2 linked regions of the Elephas maximus indicus genome follow. The protein of the gene in region 2 interacts with the protein of the main gene of each other region in a biochemical or structural test. Links are inferred from orthologs where the notes say so. Each region holds a gene or a part of one and is shown on either strand. Other genes may lie near its edges.

What was found.
Region 1: of the proteins of PRKCA (region 2) and HMGA1, one has a biochemical effect on the other in vitro, tested with the Homo sapiens proteins (2 studies listed by BioGRID). The link is inferred for Elephas maximus indicus from reciprocal best matches to the Homo sapiens genes PRKCA and HMGA1.

Annotation. Positions count from the first base shown.
Region 1 is NC_064819.1:97,113,663-97,124,339, reverse strand, and holds the start of HMGA1 (high mobility group protein HMG-I/HMG-Y), read right to left. Parts: upstream 5,036-10,677; 5' UTR 4,942-5,035; intron 4,709-4,941; 5' UTR 4,601-4,708; intron 1,245-4,600; 5' UTR 1,204-1,244; coding exon 1,069-1,203; intron 1-1,068. UniProt on the Homo sapiens protein: HMG-I/Y bind preferentially to the minor groove of A+T rich regions in double-stranded DNA. It is suggested that these proteins could function in nucleosome phasing and in the 3'-end processing of mRNA transcripts.
Region 2 is NC_064837.1:57,573,375-57,584,252, forward strand, and holds the start of PRKCA (protein kinase C alpha type), read right to left. Parts: upstream 4,557-10,878; 5' UTR 4,495-4,556; coding exon 4,322-4,494; intron 1,491-4,321; coding exon 1,459-1,490; intron 1-1,458. UniProt on the Homo sapiens protein: Calcium-activated, phospholipid- and diacylglycerol (DAG)-dependent serine/threonine-protein kinase that is involved in positive and negative regulation of cell proliferation, apoptosis, differentiation, migration and adhesion, tumorigenesis, cardiac hypertrophy, angiogenesis, platelet function and inflammation, by directly phosphorylating targets such as RAF1, BCL2, CSPG4, TNNT2/CTNT, or activating signaling cascade involving MAPK1/3 (ERK1/2) and RAP1GAP.

The sequences.
Region 1 (10,677 bases), on a different chromosome or scaffold from region 2:
CTGGCTACTAACATAAGCCTTCTGGGGCAGGAGGGTAAAGGGGAGGCTGAGAGAGCTAGTCTAAGGAAAAGAGGATGATCCCCCTCCCCCCATGACTGTGGACTCTGAAGGTGGCAGCCAAATTCCAATACACATAGACATAGCCCTCGGAGTTCAGATACACCAAAGACCCAGACACTGGTCAGTACAGAGAACTCTCTCCATCTTACAGGTAGGGAAGACTGAGGCCTGCGGGTATAACCTGCCCCATGTGTAACAGGTGAGTCACCCTCAATTCCTTTCACCTCTTCTCTTCCCAATAAACAGTCAGAAGTGGACTTCACCAACAGCTGCCTCTTGTTTGGGCCAAAGCCACCTGTGAGAGAAGCCAAGATCTCCACCACATAACAGGTGCCCCCTTCCAAGGCCCTGGCTTGGCCCAGCTCCCTAGGGTGCCTCACAATGCCAGCTGGCATTCTCACCCCTGTAGGACCTTTTAGGCAGCAGCACCAAGGTTCTGAGGGTCCCTCTAAACCAACTCCCCAGCATTACTCAACTTCTTGGGCCTCAATTCCCTTTACAGAGCCCAGCCCTACTTGTGTAGACTATAAACAGGTGCAACCCAGGAAGTACAAAAATTAACAGTAAGTACTTAAAAACTTCTATAGCAAATTGAGAAGTATTTTTTTGTGCACTGGATCAAATGATAAATAATCCTAGACTTGCACGTTATTTTTTTTTTCCATTTTTCAATTAGTTTGTTTTTATCATATTTTACAAAAGTAGCAGTCTATGATAGACGGAAGAATTTCATTTTTACCATGATACAAACACTGGTCTAGATGACCCCTGGGTCCCTTCTGGCTTGGACTTTCTGGCACGGGCTTCAGAACTCACCTTGCGTCCCTCAGCCCCCAGTTCTCTCCTGGGCTCTCAGAGGCTTTGGCCAGAGTCAGGATGTGTGTAGGGTATGTGCACGCGAGGGCCAGGAATGGCTCTGCACCCTCCATTCCCATTTCCGCCTGTTCTGACACACTGGCACATCCCTAGCCAAAAGGAGTAGAGCAAAGCAAAGGTTCAGACACCCACCTGACTCCCTACCAGCGCGGTCCCAGGACTCACCGGAGGCTGCTTGCGTGGCCTGCCCCGCCCCCGCTTCTCAGTGCCGTCCTTTTCCTGCTTGGAGGCCAAGGGCTGGCTGGACTTCGAGCTCGATTCGCTCATCTTCCCTTCTCTACAGAGCAGATGAAGCGATGGCTAGGATGCTGGGAGGCAGAAGAAACTGTTTTAAACAAAGCATCTCCCTTCACCTGCTTCTCATCACCAAGGCACACCACGGGAACTCTGCCTGCTCCCAGGCGTACCCACCTAACCAGGACAAAAGGGTCTGCCCACCCCCAGCATGCTGCCACAAGGCGGGGCAGGGCCGTTGGCCCTAATCAGCTCCTTATCTCCTGTTTAGAAGAGTCCTTTGTCCTACCCCAATACTGCCACCCCCACAGGCCCTGGGCCCATAAGGCACAGCCAGCCCACAGACCTGGCTATGTGACTAAAGCTACCCCTGGACAAAGGTGTGGGTCCAACAGCCTGCCTGGGTCCTCTCCCTTTATAACCAGCAGCTGCCCCCTCCTTCTCTTTTGAGAGAAAACTAAGGTCCTGGGACATGGAAGGAAAGGTAAATGGAAGGAATGAGACCCAGGGATCTGGCGACCATGTAGCCACTCAACCACACATTTGTATCAAGCCCCTGTCCACTCCACTGACAATATTGCCCATCTGGCAAGGTCTAAGACTCAGGACCACAGTAAAAAGGTCCAACCTTGACACTCAGCCAATCACATGGCCAGGGTTGGTGCCTACCCCAGCAGGTTTCTCTATCCCCACCACCCTCCCCCCCACCAGGATTCAAAGATGGAGACAATTTGGAAACAGTACAGAAGACAGGGAAATGGCTAAAACTCCAGTGGGTGAGGAAGGGGTGGAAAAGTAGCCCCAAGTTGAACGGCAGGCTCCTACTCTCCCCTGCTGGGACCCCATACCTAGAGTCAGATGGCATTTTTCTCTTTGACCCTTACTTACTAGAAGCACGGGTTTCTACCTCTGACCTTTCTGACAGACCCTAACCCCAAGAGTCCTAGCAGGGCTGATTCCCAAACCTTCTTGGTCCTTTCCTGGCACTTTCAGTCTTCTCAGAGGCCTGTTTGAGTTTAAGCCGCCCCACTAAGTCTGAGTTTGCCTAAAATCACCCACTGCCAGTTGAGTCTGCATCCTGTATTTGAGACCCTCTTCCAGAGGCTTAAAGAGGACTGTGAGGGTTCCCCACATCTCCACCCCTGTCCTCCCAGTTACCGATAGGAAACAGAGATGATCTAGGAGGCCTATGGCTCTACACTTCTCCCCCAGTAACCAACCAGTCCCTATCTGCCTTGGGCAAAGGGTGGCCCCAAGTGCCTCTGCTTCTGAAATCTCTCCATCTGTAAAATGGATGTAATAATAAGTGACCTGAGCCAACTAACTCTGCGTATTGCTATGAAGATCAAATTAAATAAGTTAAAAAAAGATACTTTAAATTGCGCTACATACATGTAAGATGTGCTCAACCTTCATTTTCTAAGAAATAGCAGGGGGAATCTTGGCTCCAGTCAAAATGAGAACTAGAACATTTGAAAACAACTTTTCTTCCCCCTTTTCAGATCTTTAAGCATTTTCCAATTTTAACCCAATGGAAAAAAAAAGACATTCCGGTAAACTTGTGATTTTTGGAGGGCCGAGGCCCCCATCCTCAAGCATAAAGAGGCCCTCCAGACAGCGGGACTTTGTCTGATAATTATTCTATTTTACAATATTTCAGACTTGGAGACCCTTTTAAACAAGGTGGTTGGTGATTTATCCTGCTCCATCATTAGCGGCTTGGCCTGCTCTGTAATTACAGGCAGTGATTAGAATCTTATATTACACCACAGGTCTCCCTTAAAAACTAAACATCAAAATTAATCAGCTAAATGAGGGCTGACCTCACATGAGGTTTGCCAGGTCCCCCTAACAGAGGGGGTTCCAGTTGAGCGAAGTCAGCCCTGAATCCCAGAGAGCCTGAAGATCCTGGCCGGTCTCCTTGGAAGCTCTTATACCATGCGGCCCCCAACCTCTTGCTACTAGGACCCTTTAATCCACCCGTCCTTCCTCCCCACGCCCAACCAGGCCCCCAGAACCTGAATGAAAGCCTGAGGCCTTCTCTAGAGAAGCCAAGAAATGCCTGTCTCTTCCACCTGTTTCTAAACATCAGGAAGGCCTGGCTTGGAGAAGCCACATTTAGGGCCCAACCTCAATCCCTCCATTAGTAATAAGCCTGCTTGGGCCTCAAGCATGTCCCCTACCTACACTGTGTATGCAACGTGTGCTCCACAAACGCTTAGGGAGCCTGCAAAAATGGCCCTAGGAATCATCTTGGGAGCCCCCTTTCCTTGTTTTCCAAAGAAGAAGTAGCCCAGAGAGGCTTGATGAGTTGCCCAAGGTCACACAGCAAGTTGTCGAGCATAGGTTGGAGTAGGTACCTGGCGATCCCTCCAGCCCGCCACACTTTTCTTCCCCACCTGGAGGCTGGTTATGTCCCTGTAGCCCCCTGCTCCAGACTACTACCCCGAGTGACTCTGCAAGTGTTTGTACCCGACCGTTGCAGGCCAGACGGCGGGACTAGGGGCCGGGGCGAGCGGGGGGAGGGGCGCAAGCCGTTCCTGCAGGCGCGGGAAACCGGCGCACCCTGACCGCATGCACCGCCACGCGGGTGCACCCGGCCCCACTTCCTGCCAGAGGGGGCACCCAAGCCCGCCTTGGGGCAGGAAACCTGGCGCGCGCGGGCGCAGGAGAGAGGAAGAAAGCCACCTCCCTCCGTGCCCTCCCCGCAAAATAAAACCCCCCCAAAAAATAGAAACGGGGAATCATAGGGACTAGTTCCAACAGAGCCCAGCAAAGCAGAGAAACCAGTTTGTGGGGGCGGAGGGCAGGCCCGGCCCTGGGGGCTGAAGAGGAGCGGGCCAGGCCAGAGGTGGGGTCAGGGTGAAGCCCCAAACCCAGGCCCACGATCCGGCCTCATCAGCGGAGGAGGGACCAGGAAAAAGGCCGAGGACAGTTAAGGGCGAATTGCGGGGTGCTTGCCCATCCCCCTCACTTCTAGAACTTCCCCAGGCTGCGGGGGGCGCCCGACCCACCCCCCACTCTCCCGCGGCGCCGCAGCCTGCTACTCTCTCCACCTTCTCGCCCAGGCTCTGGCGAGAGCGGCCGCCGCGCGAGGTGCACCCGGCTCTGCCGGGTGCACAACTCGCGCTCGCTGCAGCCGCGCGCCCCCTCCCCCACCGCGCGCTTTTCCCGGGTCCCCACCCCCCGCGGTGCGCCCGCGGTACGGGGGAAGGGGTGCGGGCGCCCACCCCGCGCCGCCAGGCCCTGCCGCCCGCCCCCGCGCCGCGCGGCCCTCCCCCGCCGGCGACTCGCGCTGCCCCGGCCTGGGAATAAAGCCGGCGGCGCGCGCTGCAGCCCCGGGCGGCTGGCAGAAGGGGCGGCGAGCAGGCGGGGGCGCGGGCGCCCCCAGCCGCCGCCGCCGCCGCCGCGGCCCCCGGGGACGACTCACCGCGAGCTCGGCCGCCGGCCTGCGGTGCGCGCTCGGGGCTGCCGGGAGCGGCGGTGCTGGGCGCTGAGGACCGGCCTGGCTCCGCCGCCGCTGGTAGCGAATGCGGATCTGAAACCAGGAGAGAGCAGAGGTGCTCAGAGCCTGCCGCCGCCGCGTGCCCGCCGCCCAGGCCCCCGCGGGGTATTTATATGCCACATCCAGAGGGGGGCTATTCCCCCTCCCCGAAGGATGGCGAGGGGCAGGAAGCTGGGCACGGCCCGTGCGCGGCCTCAATAAATAAATAATTTAATTAAATTATAGATATAAAAAAAAGGAAGCCACCGGAGCGGCCGCGAACTCACGCCTTCTTGGAGCCGCGCCAGCGCCAGAAATAGCCCGGGCTAGGAGTCCCAATTAGAGGAGCGCAGCCCCGGCTCAGGGGAGCTTAAAAAGAGCGACCCAGGGGCAGGGGGGACGGGCCCGCCCGCGCCAGCCGTGTCACTAAGGGGGCGGGGCCATGCAAATGAGCCCGGGGATTTAAAAGGGCGGCCGCCCGCCAGCCGCCACCGCTCGGGTGGGTGCTGACGGCGGGGAGGGGCCCGCGGTTCCTGACGTCGGGGTGGGGGGGAGCGAGTGCGCGGGAGGCGAGTGCGCGGGAGGCCTGGGCTGGGAACCCGAGGCTATGGCCCACTCGTCACACTCTCGGCCTGAGAGAACTGGCAAGGAGCGCAGAGAAATCAGGAAGCAGCTTTATGCGAGGGGGAGGGCGGCCTTTCTGCCCAAAGTGGGGTCCCCAGGCTAGTCACCTCTTGGGACCTTCTGGGCATGTGGGTCTTCCCTCTCCACGCACCGGTGGGCGTTCGTGCCTGCGGGGTCCACGCGGCGTGAGAGTGGAGAGACGCGAACCTGTTCAGAGAATTCCGCGGCCTATCCTCCGCCCCCTTCGCCCAGATACGCTGCTCATAGATCTCCCCTGGGCGGACAGGTGTCGGCATGTGCATTTCAGTGTCAACCCGCGTGTGGCTGGCTGGTGAAATACAAGTCTTGTGAAACTTGTGAAATTCAAAGAGTTTTAATTAATGGCCACGGGTGAGCCATAATCAAGGTGCAGCCTTCAAGCGAAAGAAACGATTGACTCGTTCGCAAGTCAATCCGAGGAGTCCTTCTTTTAGGTGACGTGGGTGGTGTTTTGGGACATGCGGTCCCAGTTTGTGACCTGGCCCTCTGCTGTGATTTTTTTTCTAAATAAGAAAGCGTGGGCAAGGGATCCCCTGGAAGCTCTTTGAGGGCAGGGGCTGAGTTTTACGCACGCCACACCCGCCACGCCTGGGCCGCCCGGCGCCTGACTCAACAAAAACTTGTTGCACAAACGAGAAGGAAGCCAAAGTGGAAAGATGGCGGGGAAGGCGGTGGGGGAAGAAAAGGCGCAGTCGGAGCGGCGCGCCCTGCAGGCCGGGGCCCGGGGCCTTCTTGGGCGCACCTCCCCGCCCTTGGGCCCTGAGGCGGCCTTCCACACCTCCCGTGATGCAGGGAATTGCAATGTGGTCCAGTGACACACGGCGGCTGTGACTCATGTTTTTCTTTGCTCCCCTTCTCCTCCCCGGTCAGCCGAGGCCCCGGCCCAGCCCCCTCCTCAGGAGGCGATCGGGCGGTGGAGGGGGACGCTAGGAAAACCCTGAACCCGGAGTGGAGGCGGGGTGGGGAGCTGGAGGGGCCGGGCCTCCTAGTTTCAGGAATGTTTCAGGAATGTTTCCGGTGGGGGTGGGGAACAGAGCCGGGAGTGGGCCCAGCCCCCACCCCAGGGCAGCGGGATGGCGCTCTGGGCCCGGGGCAGCACGTGCTCGGCCGGGTGGGGGTGGGGGCGCCTAGGCGGGAAGGCGCCGGGGGCTGAGAGAGCGGGTTCAAAGGGGAGGGCGCGGGCCTGGGGCCTGCCCAGGCCGGGGGTGGGCCCGAAGGCCGCGCTCCGCGCGCTGGTTCCCCGCCCTGCGCCCAGGTGAAAGGCAGTTCCTGAGAAGTCCTGAGGCCGCCCCAGAAGGGGAGAGGAAGTCACCGAAGGGCGCCCGAGGGGAGGGGAGAGAAGGGAGGAGGGGGAAGAGAGGGAGAGGCTGGGGGAGGGGCGGCCTGCCCCTTTGTCTGGAGCCGGTTGGTGGGGGTGGGGCGGGGTGAAGCGCGCGGCTCCCTCCATCTTTGTGTCCTGAGCATGGCGCGCGCGCTTAGTAGGCCGCGAGAAGAGTTGGTTGGAGGGCACTGAGTGGCGCGCTCTGGAGCCTTTGCAGCATTGAGTGGAGGGACGCGTCTTCAGCGCCTACTCGTCCACCCCCAGATCACAGGCCCCTGCTAGCAACCCGGTCCCCCACGTCTGGGCCATCCCCCCCAGAGCCCCACGCCCCTATATGCAACCCTGCCCAAGGCCAGCCCTCCCCACGGCTGTCTGGGCTTCTTGTACGAGGTTCTGGGGCTGGCCGTCAGGAAGGCACGGGGATGGTCTTGTTAGCCCCCTCGCCTGGACGCACCTAACCTCAGGGGTGCCTTCCCAGAGAGGGCGATAAAGGCGGGAGAGGGACTTCCCAAGTGGGCTGTGGGAAAACTCGGCCAACTATTTGGCCCACTTCTAGCAAGCCAATTTGATGTTTTTCCTACTCTTATTTTCCCCCTCGTCCTGATTTCCTCATTTACTTTTTTTTTTTTAACCTTGCATTGTGTGTATTTTTGTAATTCACCTCAAACCCTCTCTGGAAGGAGGCAGGTATAAATAAAGATGTAGGCAAATACAGTAAGCTGGTCCCCTCCAGGATTACCCACACCTTGAAATCCAAATAATTCTCTACCCACTGACCCGCACCTAAATGCTTTCTAGATTACAAATGTTCCGAATTCACACTCTGTACTTTTCCTCTTTCAATAGGTATCTCAAAGAGGGATGAGTAGTGGGGGTAAAAAGATGAAGAAGACAATCCCTGTCCCAGCAAATTTCCTGTCTAGGGGAATCTTGACCAGGAATGTCCAAGAGAAAGCTGAATCATAATCCAGGAGATGCCATGAGGCAAAAAGCATTCATTCAGTATTCACTGAGGGCCTACTCCATGCCAGGAACTGGCCCAAACTCTTGGGGTACAATTAGTAAATAAAGCAAAGTTCCCTGCATTCTTGAAACTTAGATTGAGGGGTGGAATGCTTAAGGAGAGCCTTGGTCGATGCTAAAGGAGGTCAGAGGTAAGAGATTGAGAACCTGAGGTGGTTGGTCAAGGAAGTCTCCTGGAGGAGATGGGCTTGAGCAGCCCGTGATGGGATTTGGATAGGTGGGAAACAGTGGGGACCAGGGAGAAGAAGCTATTCTAGGCCTGAGTCTAACCATAACGTCAACCAGGTTGGCCAAGATCTGAGGGAACCTGGAGGAGTTGGTTGGTATTAGACCCAGTCTTTGCCACAAGACGAATTTCCCAATGATCAGATTCAGGTAATAACAGTTTCCGCAAGTATAGCTCAATGAACATCAATGAACCCAAAAGGAGTATCCAGGTAATGGGGTGTTGGGTAACCTTAACTTTTCAGGACAGCTAAAAGTTAAGGTCATTTCCCCCTGAGCTATTGAAATTCTTCCTGAAGTGTGTTAGTTCTTTCCCTGACAATCTCTCAGTCCTGGTTTGGAAATGCAAATGTGGTAGTTTGGGTGTTCTTAGCATTCCCTGGGGATTCAAGTTTTCTTTCCTCCCATCTCTCTAGTCAGCATGTTTGCTTATCATTTTACCTCTTGCTTATCATTTTACCTCTTGCTTCTCAGTCAACTGCTGTTTTTAGAAGAGTAGGAGGAAAGACCCGTGTGGATGGTTAGTGATTGGGTTATTTAAGGTTTTCCAAATGGAGGGGGTGGGGGTGTGACTATGTATGGCATGGGGTATCCAGCCCAGCATGGAAGGTGGATGGGAAGGGGGAGAGAATCAGGAATTGCTGAGTATCATTGGGTGACTACAAACTCTATAAATTGTCCAAACCAGGGCAGTTTTAAAAGTAAACTTATTACTGACAAATAACATACGTACAGAAAATGCATAAATCCTAAGTGTTCAGCTCAAATTTTCACTGGGTGAACATTGTGTGACCAGCACCCAGATCAAGAAGCAGTTGCCGGCTGCCTTGTGTAACCACTATCCCAACTTCTAACAGCATTGTTTAGTTTTGTCTATGTACATTATATGAATGGAATCATACAGTATGTATTCTCCCAGGTTGGTTTCTTTCGCTCAGCCTAATGTCTGTGAGATTCATCCATGTTATTGTGTGGCTGTAGACTGTTCATTCTCGTTGCTGTGTAGTTAATATGGTATGAATGAACAACAATTTATTTATCCATCCTCTTGAAGGATATTTGGGTTTTTCCCTGTTTGGAGCTAATACAGTTACTGCTGCTGTGAACATCCTGAAAACCCTGGTGGCTGTAGTGGTTCAGAGTTCGGTTGCTAACCCAAAGGTTGGCAGTTTGAATTCACCAGGCACTCCTTGGAAACCCTATGGGACAGTTCTATTCTGTCCTCTAGGGTCACTGTGTGTCAGAATGGACTCAATGACAACAGGCTTGGTTTTGGTTTTAGGAACATTCTAGAATATGTCTTGATAAGCAAAGGCGTCCATTTCTGTTGTGTACGTACCTAGAAGAATTCCTGGATCATAGTATAGGTATGTTTAGCTTTAGTGGGCAAACAGGACACCTGAGAGTAAGAGGGAACACTATTAATAATTATGACCAGAGAACAGCATAAACCTGACCGGCCCATGTCAACCTGGGCGGACTCAGGATATAGGATCCAGCTTGGTCAAAGGTCCCTGCTACACAGTCTCTGACCACTATCCTCAAGAGTCATCTAGCTACTAGTGCATCTGGTCATCTGGCAGGATCAGGCCTCCAGACCCTGCTGACCACAAGCTCTTCTGCCAGCAAGCCTGGCAGGCCTAGAGTGGAAGGAGGGCCTCTTCTGGTTCCAACTTTCGAGGGAAAAACTCCCAAGTGAAAAGGAGGGCCTGGGAGGCAGCACCTCTCTGCCCCCTTCCTGTGAGCCAGTGGCTGGCCCACCCATGGCCTCGGGACACCATGGACTTTATGGCATTATTGAGGACTGGGTTACCAGGAAAGCCCAGCTCCTTTATAACCTGAAATAAAACCTGGGGGGAAGGAGGAGTTGATGAGCCCATACTAAATGCTTATGTTTTCTCAGTTCTCTCCACAAACCTACCAGATCAGTAGTGTTATTGCCCCCATTTTACAGGTGCTGAAACTGAGGCTGGGGAGGTTAAATAGCTTGAGATTCTGCCTCTTTCCCCTTAGTTGCCCCTACTCCTGGGCTGGGTAGCTTTGCTGCCTTCTCCCAGTCTGGTCAGATGGATCCCCCAGGCCTCATGATAGATCCTGGGAAGGTCGCCTTGAACTAGATAAATACATTTCACATCCTCAAGGGGCTTACATTAGGTGGAGAAGGAGATGGACAGGTAAACAGGCAATTTTACCAGTGTGGTACATGATGTGATGGGGGCCTAGGGAAGCACAGGGCAGGGTCCAGGGAATGCTTAGAGCAACCCAGGAGGCCTTGGAAGCGGGCAGATAGGGGCATCAGGCAGTCTGGCCTGGGGGATGGGTTTTAGCCTGTGATGGGGTGAACTGACATTCAACGCCATTCCCCACACTCCTTCAAAGCTAGAGTTTTGAATGTGAATGAGATCCCACCAAAGAAAGAGAGATTTGAAAAGAGGAAGTGAGGGAAAGCTTGCTACCTGGGTTGTGAAGATGGGAGGTTTTTCTACAGCTTATCCAGTGTCCAGTTACCAGCTTTGGAGGGGTCAAGAGGCAGCTATGGTGGCAGCAGGGCTTCCTGCCTCTGGATCTAGGCCCAGCCATTCTGGTGGGGCCTCCTGATTCCCCACCCCCTGATTAGGGCAGAGGTGGCTCACTTGATCATGTTGTTCCAGGAGGCCCAGCCTGGAGCCAGATCTTTCAGTGGTTTTGTAAGCACTAAATTCCGGGTATTAAATCTCTTTCTATCTAAAATGTAAGTCACATTCCTCCTCTGTTCAAAATCCCCTAAGTGCTTCCATCTCCTTGTTGTTGT
Region 2 (10,878 bases):
AAGTTTTTAAAGTAACATGCCCTCTTTCTCTTAGAATGTAATATTATTTGAGAAAATTCAGTATTTTTCTTATAAGTTTCCAAGGCTTCCACTCAAAAACATTACCAAAAATAATAATAGACGTGAATCCCATTAGTCCAGAATCACAAAGTAACTTTACAACTTTAAACTTCCTAAAATCTAGTCTAGACCCAAGTCTTGCCTACAAATTTCAGGCTCACAACTTTGAGAACTGGAAAGAGCTGTGTCTTCCTTTTATCTTTTAAAGAAAGGCTGGTGCAATACACCTTTCTCTTACTATTCTCTTTTTTATAAGACTACCCTTGATTTCCAAATACAACTCTCAGAATGATTTATTCTATGGGGCTTTAAGCACTCTATATAAACATCTTGATGTAAGAAAGGTAGACTATTAATGAATAAGCACACCATAAAACAGCCCCGCCTAAAATACATTTAGAAGACGTATATAAGACAAGTTCACTCATTTAAAGCAGTTTTTAAAGGGTAACCAAATTACTACCACAATTTTAAAGTTGTAAAAAAGTACACATAGTGCCTTCTCTCTTTCTCTCCTTCATGTGCTTAACATTACACAGTATTAGGACAATATTTTCCAGGCTAGAATGTATTTTTCACTTGCCCTAATAATAAGCCTATGCCCAGATGGGAAATGCAACCAGAACTGAATAAACACAATATAGACGATGAACAGGAGAGCCAGAAGATGGGCTAATGAATCTGGGATGCCTACACAAGCTTGAAAGCATTAAGAAATTAAACAAAATGAATAGAAAGTATGAAAAGTTAAATACTGGATGGGTGGGAAATGCAACTACAGATCAGGGGAGAGGGTGGAGTGGATTTCTTTTTTCAGGCAACAGATAGCATCGAACATGTTGTCAGATATCTAAGCTAAAGGAAAAGTGTGCCACACGGTAATACTGCAGGAATCAATCACTGAATTATCCATATACCTTTAAAACATGCCAACTTTGTTCTGGATGACAATCGGTAACCTACAGAAACAAAAACTTACTAAAATAATGTATGGCCCAAAATGAACCGCAATGAGTCCAACCCAAAGTATAGGTAAAACAGATGAACAAAAACAAAAGAGGAAGAACAAGAAAGAAAAGCCACATGAATACAAAGTGATTCCATTTTTTTCTTAACACCCACACAAAGACAGCAGTTTCTGAGAGGAATGTTCTCTGCAAAAAAATAAAATTAAAGGAATTTTTTTTTTCAATGAGAAAAAGACAGCTCTATATGCAGATTACTAGGCAAGACCATATGATTTTTTAAAGTCCCAAATGTACAGCCTTCATATTTCAAAAATCTTATCTAAATAACATATGTTTTGGGTCACGAAGAAAAGATGACTTAAAATATCATTCCTGTTTGGAATGCTTATTCATGTTGTATTTGAAAACAAATTCCAACATGGCAGCTTACCTTGGCACTGGAAGCCTTGTTTCCCAAACCCCCTGAAAAACAGAAACAAGAATAAAACATCTTAACATACTTCATGTGAGGCATATTTTAAGCAAGTTGTGTGGCAAATTATTCTATAAAGTTAAAAATTTGTCCACAACACCCAATGATTCAATAAGAAAAACACATGTAATATCGAATCAGATTACTGTATAAATTCAATTTAGGAAAAAAAAATCTACCTTGGCTGCAAAGGATCACTGAAATTCTTCAATTTATCAAGTTTCTTTCCAATTTTTTACGCTATGTAATCAGCAGTTACATTTCAACAAAGAATATCACTGTACATTCACATACTTGAATATTGGCTACAATATTCAAGTCACAAAAAGGAGTTTATGGGAAAGGAGGAAGTGGCTTAATTTTGTTCCTAAAGACCAACTAAAAATCTCTTCTTCTCCCTAATGACGATGAAAAAGTGGCTCCACTGTGTGTTAGGAGCTTGTTTAAAATAAGAAATTAGCAAACAGCATCACTCTTTCAACATTTAATTTTGCCTTAAGGAGCCATATTTTACAACAAAATAGCATTCCTATTACTTGCATTTGAGATGACCATGATCTAATTTTTACTGAGAACCAACAGCATTCAAAGCACACACAGAGACAATTTTGTTCTTGTAAGTTACTTCAGAGAATTTACTCTCTAAGGGGAGAACCCTGACATGGACATTAAACCGCAGACACCGTTCCACTAGAATGGACTGTATTACAATTTTTTCAGGAGGTTATTAGTCATAACCCCTTGCCTGACACAGCTTTTTAAGTTTACAAAGCACTTCACATACCTTTATAACCAACTTAGAGTCATCCCTCCAAAAAACATACCTAAATTCAAACGTTTAACTTTAAAATGTCAGTGCTTTAAGATTTAAGGGCCCATAGAAGCAATACTGAAAGAAAACGGAAAAATTAAAGCCACTGCTGAACAATTCCAGCAGATGTTTTCCTGGAACCTCCAAGTGGTTGCTTTACAATTAAGTGGAGACATACAGAGATTATTCAGGGAGGGAGAATAAGGAGAGATCGTTATCTTCCACTTTGCAACACACCTGGTGACCTGGCCAGCCACATCGATTCTCAAGGGCCTGATCCCTCCAGACAACTGATAGTGGAAAGACATTAGCTGGCCTGGGTAGGCTGCAAGTCACTTTTCTAACTTACTTAATTCCTGCAAAAGTAATCAACAGTCTGAGATAACTGTTCTCTTTTAACGGAATCTCACAGTCAAGAGAGGCCAAAGACCTCGCCTTAACTAAACGCAATGGCTTCTCTTTGCCCTGATGCTCCAAAAAGTTATTTTAAAAAGCCTTATCTACAATTACCTACTCTCTCAAGCACAACAGCTTCATATGCTGACTACCCCGGTGGAAAGCATTTACAGAGGTAGCTGTGCTTTTCATAAAAGTATACATTTGAGCTGATTTCTAAAAAGGAAGGGAAAAATTAAGCACGGAATTACCACCACGTTCATGGAACACGCCCTTTGAGATGTTTTTCTCCAGGAGTGATGGATTCGGACAGAGCCCTTCATAAGTTCTCCCTAGTGTCCCAACAAGATAAATATGTACACCACACAGTGGGCTGGTGTCTGAACAGTCACCCAGTGCAACTCCACGGAGGATGAGAGGAGGGAGCTAAGGAGCCCTAGCCTACACCCACAAACAAGCAGTAGAAGCACTGTGTCTGGCAAACTAAGAGAAAACAAAACTACGGATCCCCAAACTGAAGAACCTGGAGTTCCTTCAGTTCTGGGTTTCTAGCCTTTTGGGGTGCCACAGACCTTTTGAAAACCAGATAAAGCTATAATTCTCTCACCTGAAAAAAAAAATGCACATACACAGTTTCACTTAGTTCTACAGGATTCAGAGGCCCCCCCCAACCCCCCTCCAGGCCCATCCACTTGTTAATTCCTCCCAAAGCCACAGGACCTTCAAGTTAAGAATACCTACTGTTCATTGGAAATGACCTGAACTTGGACACCTTGAGCGGTTACAGTATTTTTCTTAAATAAGGCCTCTGTCCTCATCAACAGGGTTACAGGTCCAATCTCGTGTCGACAGGGTCTATTTTAAATGACTCCCTCTGCCTTCTGCCATTTGCCGGCACTGTTTTAATTCCCCTTCCCCCATTGCAAGCTTTCAACAGTTTGCTGCCTCTCGACTTTCTCTCCGGGATCGCCTAGAAAAGTCAAAGTCTCTCCGTGCCCAGTAGATACCAGCTACAGTAGGCAGGGACTCAAGATTGCAGTAGAGTCCCAGGCCGATGGGAAGCACAAACACACACCCCCCGAACACACCCTGCCTGGCTCGCCAACAACTTGGATTGCGCGCAGCAATCGCCACGGCTCCCCGGTTACACTGGGGCGTGTTTCTCTGGGACACTCCGGCTCTCTGGATTTTCTTTTCTTCCCCTTTTGCTCACACCCCGCCAAAACCGCTGCCCCACGGTCTGAGGGCGGGGGGTTCTGGGGGGAGGCCACTGGCCCGGTGGAGGGGATCAATGTCACTGGCGCGCAGGGCCAGCCCTCCCTCCTGCGGCAGGGGGTGTGTGGCCGGACGGCGACTTCCCCGGGAGTCCGGCCCGCGTGTGTGTCAGTGGCCGGGACGGCCGGGCGCGCGCGAGTGTCATTCAGGGCAAGAGTTGGGACTCCCGCCGGCTCTCCAAGTTCCCCGAGCCAGTCAGCCCTGGGGTGGACGCGCCCGGACTGGGGGGCCCGAGAGCGGGTCCGCGGGAGACGGACTGGTCCCCAGCCCCAGGAGCCGCGAGCGGGTCCGGGGGTGCCCCGGAGGTGCCCGTCTTGAGCCCGGCCCGCGCGCACCTACCAGATGAAGTCGGTGCAGTGGCTGCAGAAGGTGGGCTGCTTGAAGAAGCGGGCGATGAATTTGTGGTCCTTCACCTCGTGCACGTTCTTCTGCCTCAGCGCCCCTTTGCGGGCGAACCGGTTGGCCACGTCCTGAGACGCCGTGGAGTCGTTGGCCGGGAAAACGTCAGCCATGGTCCCCCCCAACCACCTCTTGCCTCCGCCGGGGAGCAGCAGCGGGGAGGCCGGGGGGCGGGGGCGGGGGCGGGCGGGGGAGAGGCGCGGGGCCGCGGAGACCCCGGGTGGGGGGCGCGGGCCGGCGGCCGGGGTCGCGGTGGCGGCTGCGGCCGGGCGGCGGCCAGGGAGAGTCGGGCTGGAGCAGCGCGGAGCGGAGCCGGAGCCGGAGCCGGAGCCGGAGCCGCTCGCTCGCTGGCCGCTCGCTGGCCCCACGCTCACTGACAGCACAGCGCCCGGCGCTCGCGCTTCCTACTCTCGGCGGCAGAGGCGGCCTGAAGCGGCCCCGCCCACCGCGCATGCCCCGAGTGCGGGGGCCGCGCGTGCCCGTGTGGCCGCGGGCGTGGGGCGCGCGAGAGAGAGGGCGCGCGCAGGCTGGGGCGCGCGCGGGCCTGGGTGGCGGGCGCTGCGCGGCGCTGCGCTGGGAGGACGCGGGCGCAGCAGGACTCGGCGCCTCCGCGTTTTCGGAGCAGCCCGGAAAGGGGAGGCGGCGGCGGCCGGGGAGGGCCGGTCCGAATTTGGGAGCGGAGGAGGGATCCGGGAGGGGCGGGGCGGCTCTCCTCCACCGTCTTTTTCTTTGCCTACTCTTTCTCTCCTCCGGGCTCTCCACCCTCTCGTCTCCTACTCTCCTTCCGCTCCTCGCGCTGTGCCTTCTCCTCTCCTCATCTTCCTCCTCCCACGCTTCTGCTCATATCTCTCTGCTCCTCGGCCCGCGTTTTCTACTCTCTGGGGTCGGAGTTCTGCGCCAACCGCACGTGGAGGAAAGGAGCCCCGAGTCCCAGAAGGGGTCCCCGCACACCCCCCCCCCCCGCCCCGGGCTCTCGGTCCGACCCGCCTGGACGCTCACCTTCCCTCCTCCGGCATCACACACAAGGCAGGTGCCACTTCCCCATCTCCCGGTCCCACCGGTACTTCTAGGGCACGATGGCCCTGTTTATCAGCCAGTACTAGTTTGAGGTTTTATGTGGCTAAAATGCCCAACCCCTAGACCTTTACGTTTTGTGTATGTGGCAGGAGAAAGGTAGCAATCTTAAATCATTGAACATTGATCCTTTTACCTACCTTCAATTGTTGACCTGTATTTCACCCCCTTTTTTTTTTTTTCCATAGGTGACTCATATCTAATTTGTACGTCAGATATTATCACCACTCAGGACGGTTAAAGAACTCGTCCTCGGTATTTATCCCGTTATTCATTGCCTACTACAGCTACAAAATTGGTTATTAGTCTTTCCTGATTTTACAAGAGAGTCCAGAACTTTAGAAATAAGTTTGCATCCTAAAGTAATTACTGCAATACTGGCAGGTGTAGAGTGCAACCAGAATATTTGTAAATTACAAAAACCGCTGGTGAAAGGGTAGCGGGCATGGATATGAAAAAGGACGCAAGTGGGGGCGTACCAACTAATCACTCGCTGAATACTTATCCTGCCCTACCACCCCCCCCCCCAAAAAAGGATGCTAAAATACCTGAGGGAGACAAGCGCCTCCTATCCTTTCATTACTGGTTTATTTCACTGTCAGAGTCACTAAGTTCACAAAACAACTTCATGAATTGGAAACACCAGTTCAAGTGTCTTCAAGAAAGAGAATGTGGTGTTTAGGCCCCTAAGAGATTTTTTTTTTTTTTCTATGATAATGTACTGTTTTAGAGTATGTCACATAGACTAAGCAGGTCTGCCCATTTTTGAGATTGGTCAATTGTGATGCTTGATGATAAATAAGAATGTCTTTTATATTTTGAACAGTGTAAGCTAGTGACTGGCCATTTGAGGCACATGCACTTTGCTGACGCATTTACTTCTCTTGAGCCAACCCTGGTTGGTGCTTAAAGAGACTGCATTTGTTTGATATCCTGTCTGTTCAGAAATTCCTCTACTTATGGTGGCCCTTTAGTCTAAGGAAGCAAAAAAGGAAGAGGTCAGGAAAGGAATGAAGTGCAGGGCATGTCAGGAAACTAGATCAAATTCTCCACAAAACACTGTAAACTTCTTAAACCATGGTTGTTTATTGCTTAATAATCATTAATCAAATGCAGTACTGTAGAATGAGTCACCCAGTTTTTTCCTCTTTGTCTAAGACAATGGTCCTTACACATTTTATGAAGACAATTCTATTTCCCTGAAGCTTTGGTGCGAGGATTCGAGAAAAATAATGGGAGAGTTGGAGGGTGGGGTTGTGGATAGTGCAAACCCTGAGCAAAGTAATAGGGAAGAAGAGCTAAGGCCCGGCCCCGGCAGCTACCCCACCATCTCCTGTGTAAGGAGTAGAGTAATTGCTTTTAGTAGTCAGTAAGCCAGATGGAGACACGTGCCTCTTTCTTTTCAGGTTATGGCTTTGCTTTCTTGCCACAGTTATTACTATCGTTAGTCGTGGGTAAAGGAAGAAACGGCTACCTCAAGTCTGTTGATGGGTAGTGGGGCTGGGCATGAGTGCATCAATGCCTGTACCTTGCTCAGTTGGGGGGAGAGTGCACCTGGAGTAGGGAATTGCCAACCAGTGTCACACTACCTCTAACAAGGATTGGAAGGAGGCCTGCTGGCTCAAAGGTAAGTGCTTAGCTGCTAATAGAAAAGTTGCTAGTTTGACCCCACCCAGTGGCTCCATGGGAGAAAAACCTGGCAATGTGCCTAGAAAACCCTGTGGGGCAGTTCTGCTCTGTCACATAGGTCACTGTGAGTTGAAATCGACGCCACCTAACAACAACATCAGGGGCTGGTGGGATCTGGGTCGTGATTTGCCTTTGTGGCCCACCTGAGAAGTTCCCATGGAATCATTACAGTGGAGGGGATTACGGAAAGGAGACTCCTTGGGGTGGTGGTTGTCAATCTGTCCTGAGTGATAGTCATGTTTTAGAGTCTGCTGCTTCACGGGGAAGTTGCAGGAAAGAACAAGGAATGGTAGACTGAACACAGACTGTCAGAATTCTCCTGTCTCCCTTGCCTTTGAGGAGCCAGCTCTAGACTCTTTGGAGAGGCATCGCCTAGACCAAAACCAAACCAAACCCATTGCCACTGAGTCGATTCCAACTTATAGCGACCGTATAGGACAGAGTAGAACTGCCCCATAGGGTTTCCAATGAGTGGCTGGTAGATTTGAACTGCTGACCTTTTGGTTAGCGGCCAAATGCTTAACCACATGCACTACCAGGGGGACCCAAGATCTGGAGGTTAGGATCAAATCAGGGCACTAAACTGATGCTTCAGAACCAGATGGTTCACTTGAAACCAATAGGCTTTAAGTTTTAACTGTAAAACTTGCTGCTGTGTGCAAAAAACTGGCCTATTTTTAAGTGAACCAAGGCACCGGGCAATAGGAATTGCATAAGTGTAGGAAAAGCTCAATTTTGAGATTTATAGTAACCAAGAAGACTTAAAGGCTCACTTTATGGACTACGCACCGGATTTGTTTCTCATGTCCCTCGAAGAGCATCAAACAAAATCCAATTCATAATCCCGAACCAGACTTTTTAATCCCCTTTTCCTTTTCTTCTTCCAAAATACCGAGTCTCACCAACCGCACTCAGTAAGCTTTTCCAAAGCCCCCCAAAGATTCCCTCTTCTACCCACATTTAGACCCCCTTTTACCCTCTCTCCTCCCCTTTGTTATTTTTTGTATTCTTCATTATCTATTATACATCCTGTTACCATCAAATCGATTCCAACTCATAGCACCACTATAGGTCAGAGCAGAACTGCCCCATAGAGTTTCCAAGGCTGTAATCTTTACAGAAACAGACTGCCACTTCTTTCTCCTGCAAAGCAGCTACTGGGTTTGAACCACTGACCTTTCGGTTAGCAGCCAAGTGCTTAACCACTGCGCTACCAGGGCTCTTTGTATATTATGTATGTAAAAGTATATTATCTGTATAAATACGTATTGTATTTATATAAAGCTACGATGTATATTTTATACACTTAATTCCAACAAATCCTCCCTGCACATCTCCCTTCAGGATAAGGCCTTCTATACTCATTTTTTAATTTTGTACCACAAAATATCTAGGAACCAGTTTTAGACAGGGTAGCTTGGGATGAGTGTGAGCATCAGGGTAGCTGAGCAGAGAGTGAGGACTAAGCTGAAAATGACCAGGTTCTCATTCATTCATTCATTCAACAAACATTTTCTGAATTCCTGACAGTGTGCCAAATGCTGTGTTAGGTCCTGGGACTAAAATGTATTATATAGTGTGTACTGTATATTTTTCATCAAATAATATATACGTTTTTGACCAGTCAACCCTCTTGCATGTTATTTTCCTAAGTGCTCTGTGTGTTATATGTGTGTGGATGTGGACGCATTATTTATGTGGGTGCCTTATTTGTGGAAAAAATGCTGTACATTATATATTGGTCCAATGTTGAGCAAAACAGACATGTTGTTGTTGGTTGCAACCCCGTGTGCTACAGAGTAGAGCTGCTCCGTAGGGTTTCCTTGGCTGTAATCTTGATGGAAGCAGCTCACCAGGCCTTTTCTTCACAGTTATGCTGGCTGGGCTCAAACCGCCAACCTTTAGGTTAGCAGTCAAGCACAAACCGTTTGTGCCACCTAGGGACCTAGCCCCTGCTTTGTGTAATTTACATTCTCTTTGGTGACTGGAGTAGGAGAGGGAAGTTTGTGGACAATCACACCTAGTAAAACTTAGCCCATTATATACATTCACTTATATTTACTGTATATAATAGTAAATTAAATACACATGTACAGCTACCTTCAAAACTTTGATCCTAAGCTGGTGAAATGGACACGAAAAGAGAGAATGGAGGGAGAGAGCAGCCTGTCTTATTAGGGGGAGAGTAATTGGGAGTGTGTAGCAAGGTGTATAGGCGTTTTTGTGTGAGAGACTGACTTGATTTGTAAGCTTTCACTTAAAGCACAATAAAAATTATAAAAATTTACATTAAAAAAAAACTTTGATCCTGTTTTAGTTTGGATGTTTTTATGCTGTGTACAGTAATGTAGTAAATACAACTCAAATCCTGCCAATTGGCATCAGGCAAAGATTCAAGCAAAACTTGGAGAAGCAGCTCCAAAGGTCTGTCCAACAAAGCAGGCGACGTAGAATGCCAGCCTCCTGTTGGGTGAAGGTATCTGACGAGATTCAATGCAGTGATGACAACCTGGTTCTTTTGAATACACACTTAAATATGATTTGGCAAACTATACAATCTGCAGTTGTGTCTGTGCTTGGCATGGCTTTAGAAGTAGAATGGCAATACTTCCTAAAACCTTGGAATCCATTCAAATATCATTTAAATTTCTGTACAAGGTGTATCCCTAACAAATAGGAAGAGTATTCAGAAACACAATTTATCTACAAAATATTAATTGAGCAGTTATTAGGTGCCCAGGCAATCACTGTTCTAGTTGCTAGGGATGCAATGGTGAACAAAGCAGACAGTTTCAGTGGAGAGAGGTGACTGATGGGTATTTTGGAGTCTGAGACAGGGAGAATATAAAAAAAGCCTCAACTCGGCAGGCATAGTCATGAGAAAAGTCACTCTGGGGGCCACAGTTCCAAGGAGCATTCCCTTTCGGAATGTCTGGCGACAGCCTCAGCTAGGTAAGAAGGAAAAAAAAAAAATTTTTTTTTTTTTTTTAAGGTAACCTCAAATTGCACAGGGGTCTTCTGTGGGTAAGTGTCTTTAACTCAGGGAGGTTAAGAATTCAATGTACAGACGAGAAACTAAATTAGGCCAACTGTCTTTGGGGGCTAAGTTTAGAAACAATCTGCATGTGCCACAATGTTGAAGAGAATTTGGGTTTTGAACAGATAAGCTTTGTGATTCTAATATGAAACTAGTGAGCAAATAATGGATTGAGATCATGATATTAAGTTGAGATCTTACTGACTTTGTAAGCGGTATTGAAATGTGAGGAAATTTAAGATTCAACAGCGCTATAAGTTTAATTCCGTAGATTTATAAGACTCACTTAGGAAGTAAGTCTTAATAAGGGAAACTTTGCTGACAACTGACCATTTATGATTGTTTATGACTGTTTTCCTCAAACATCTTTAAAGTGATTTGTAAGATGGTAGTATGGTTTGTAAGCTGGACTTAAAAGCTGAAGGAGAAGCTAGATTTTAACATATGTAACTATAGTCCATTAAACATTAGTGCTAAAAATATAGGCTTCGTTTAGGGCAGTGAAAGCATTTTGTATATACTTATAACGGTGAATTATAGTATCATATGGAAATATTATATTGTGTAAGTCAAAACCCATTGAACTGTACAACACATAGAGTTACGTTAATGTAAACTGTGGACTTAAGTTCATAATAACATGTCAATATTGATTTATTAACGATAACATATGTACTTCACAAATGCAAGGTACAAA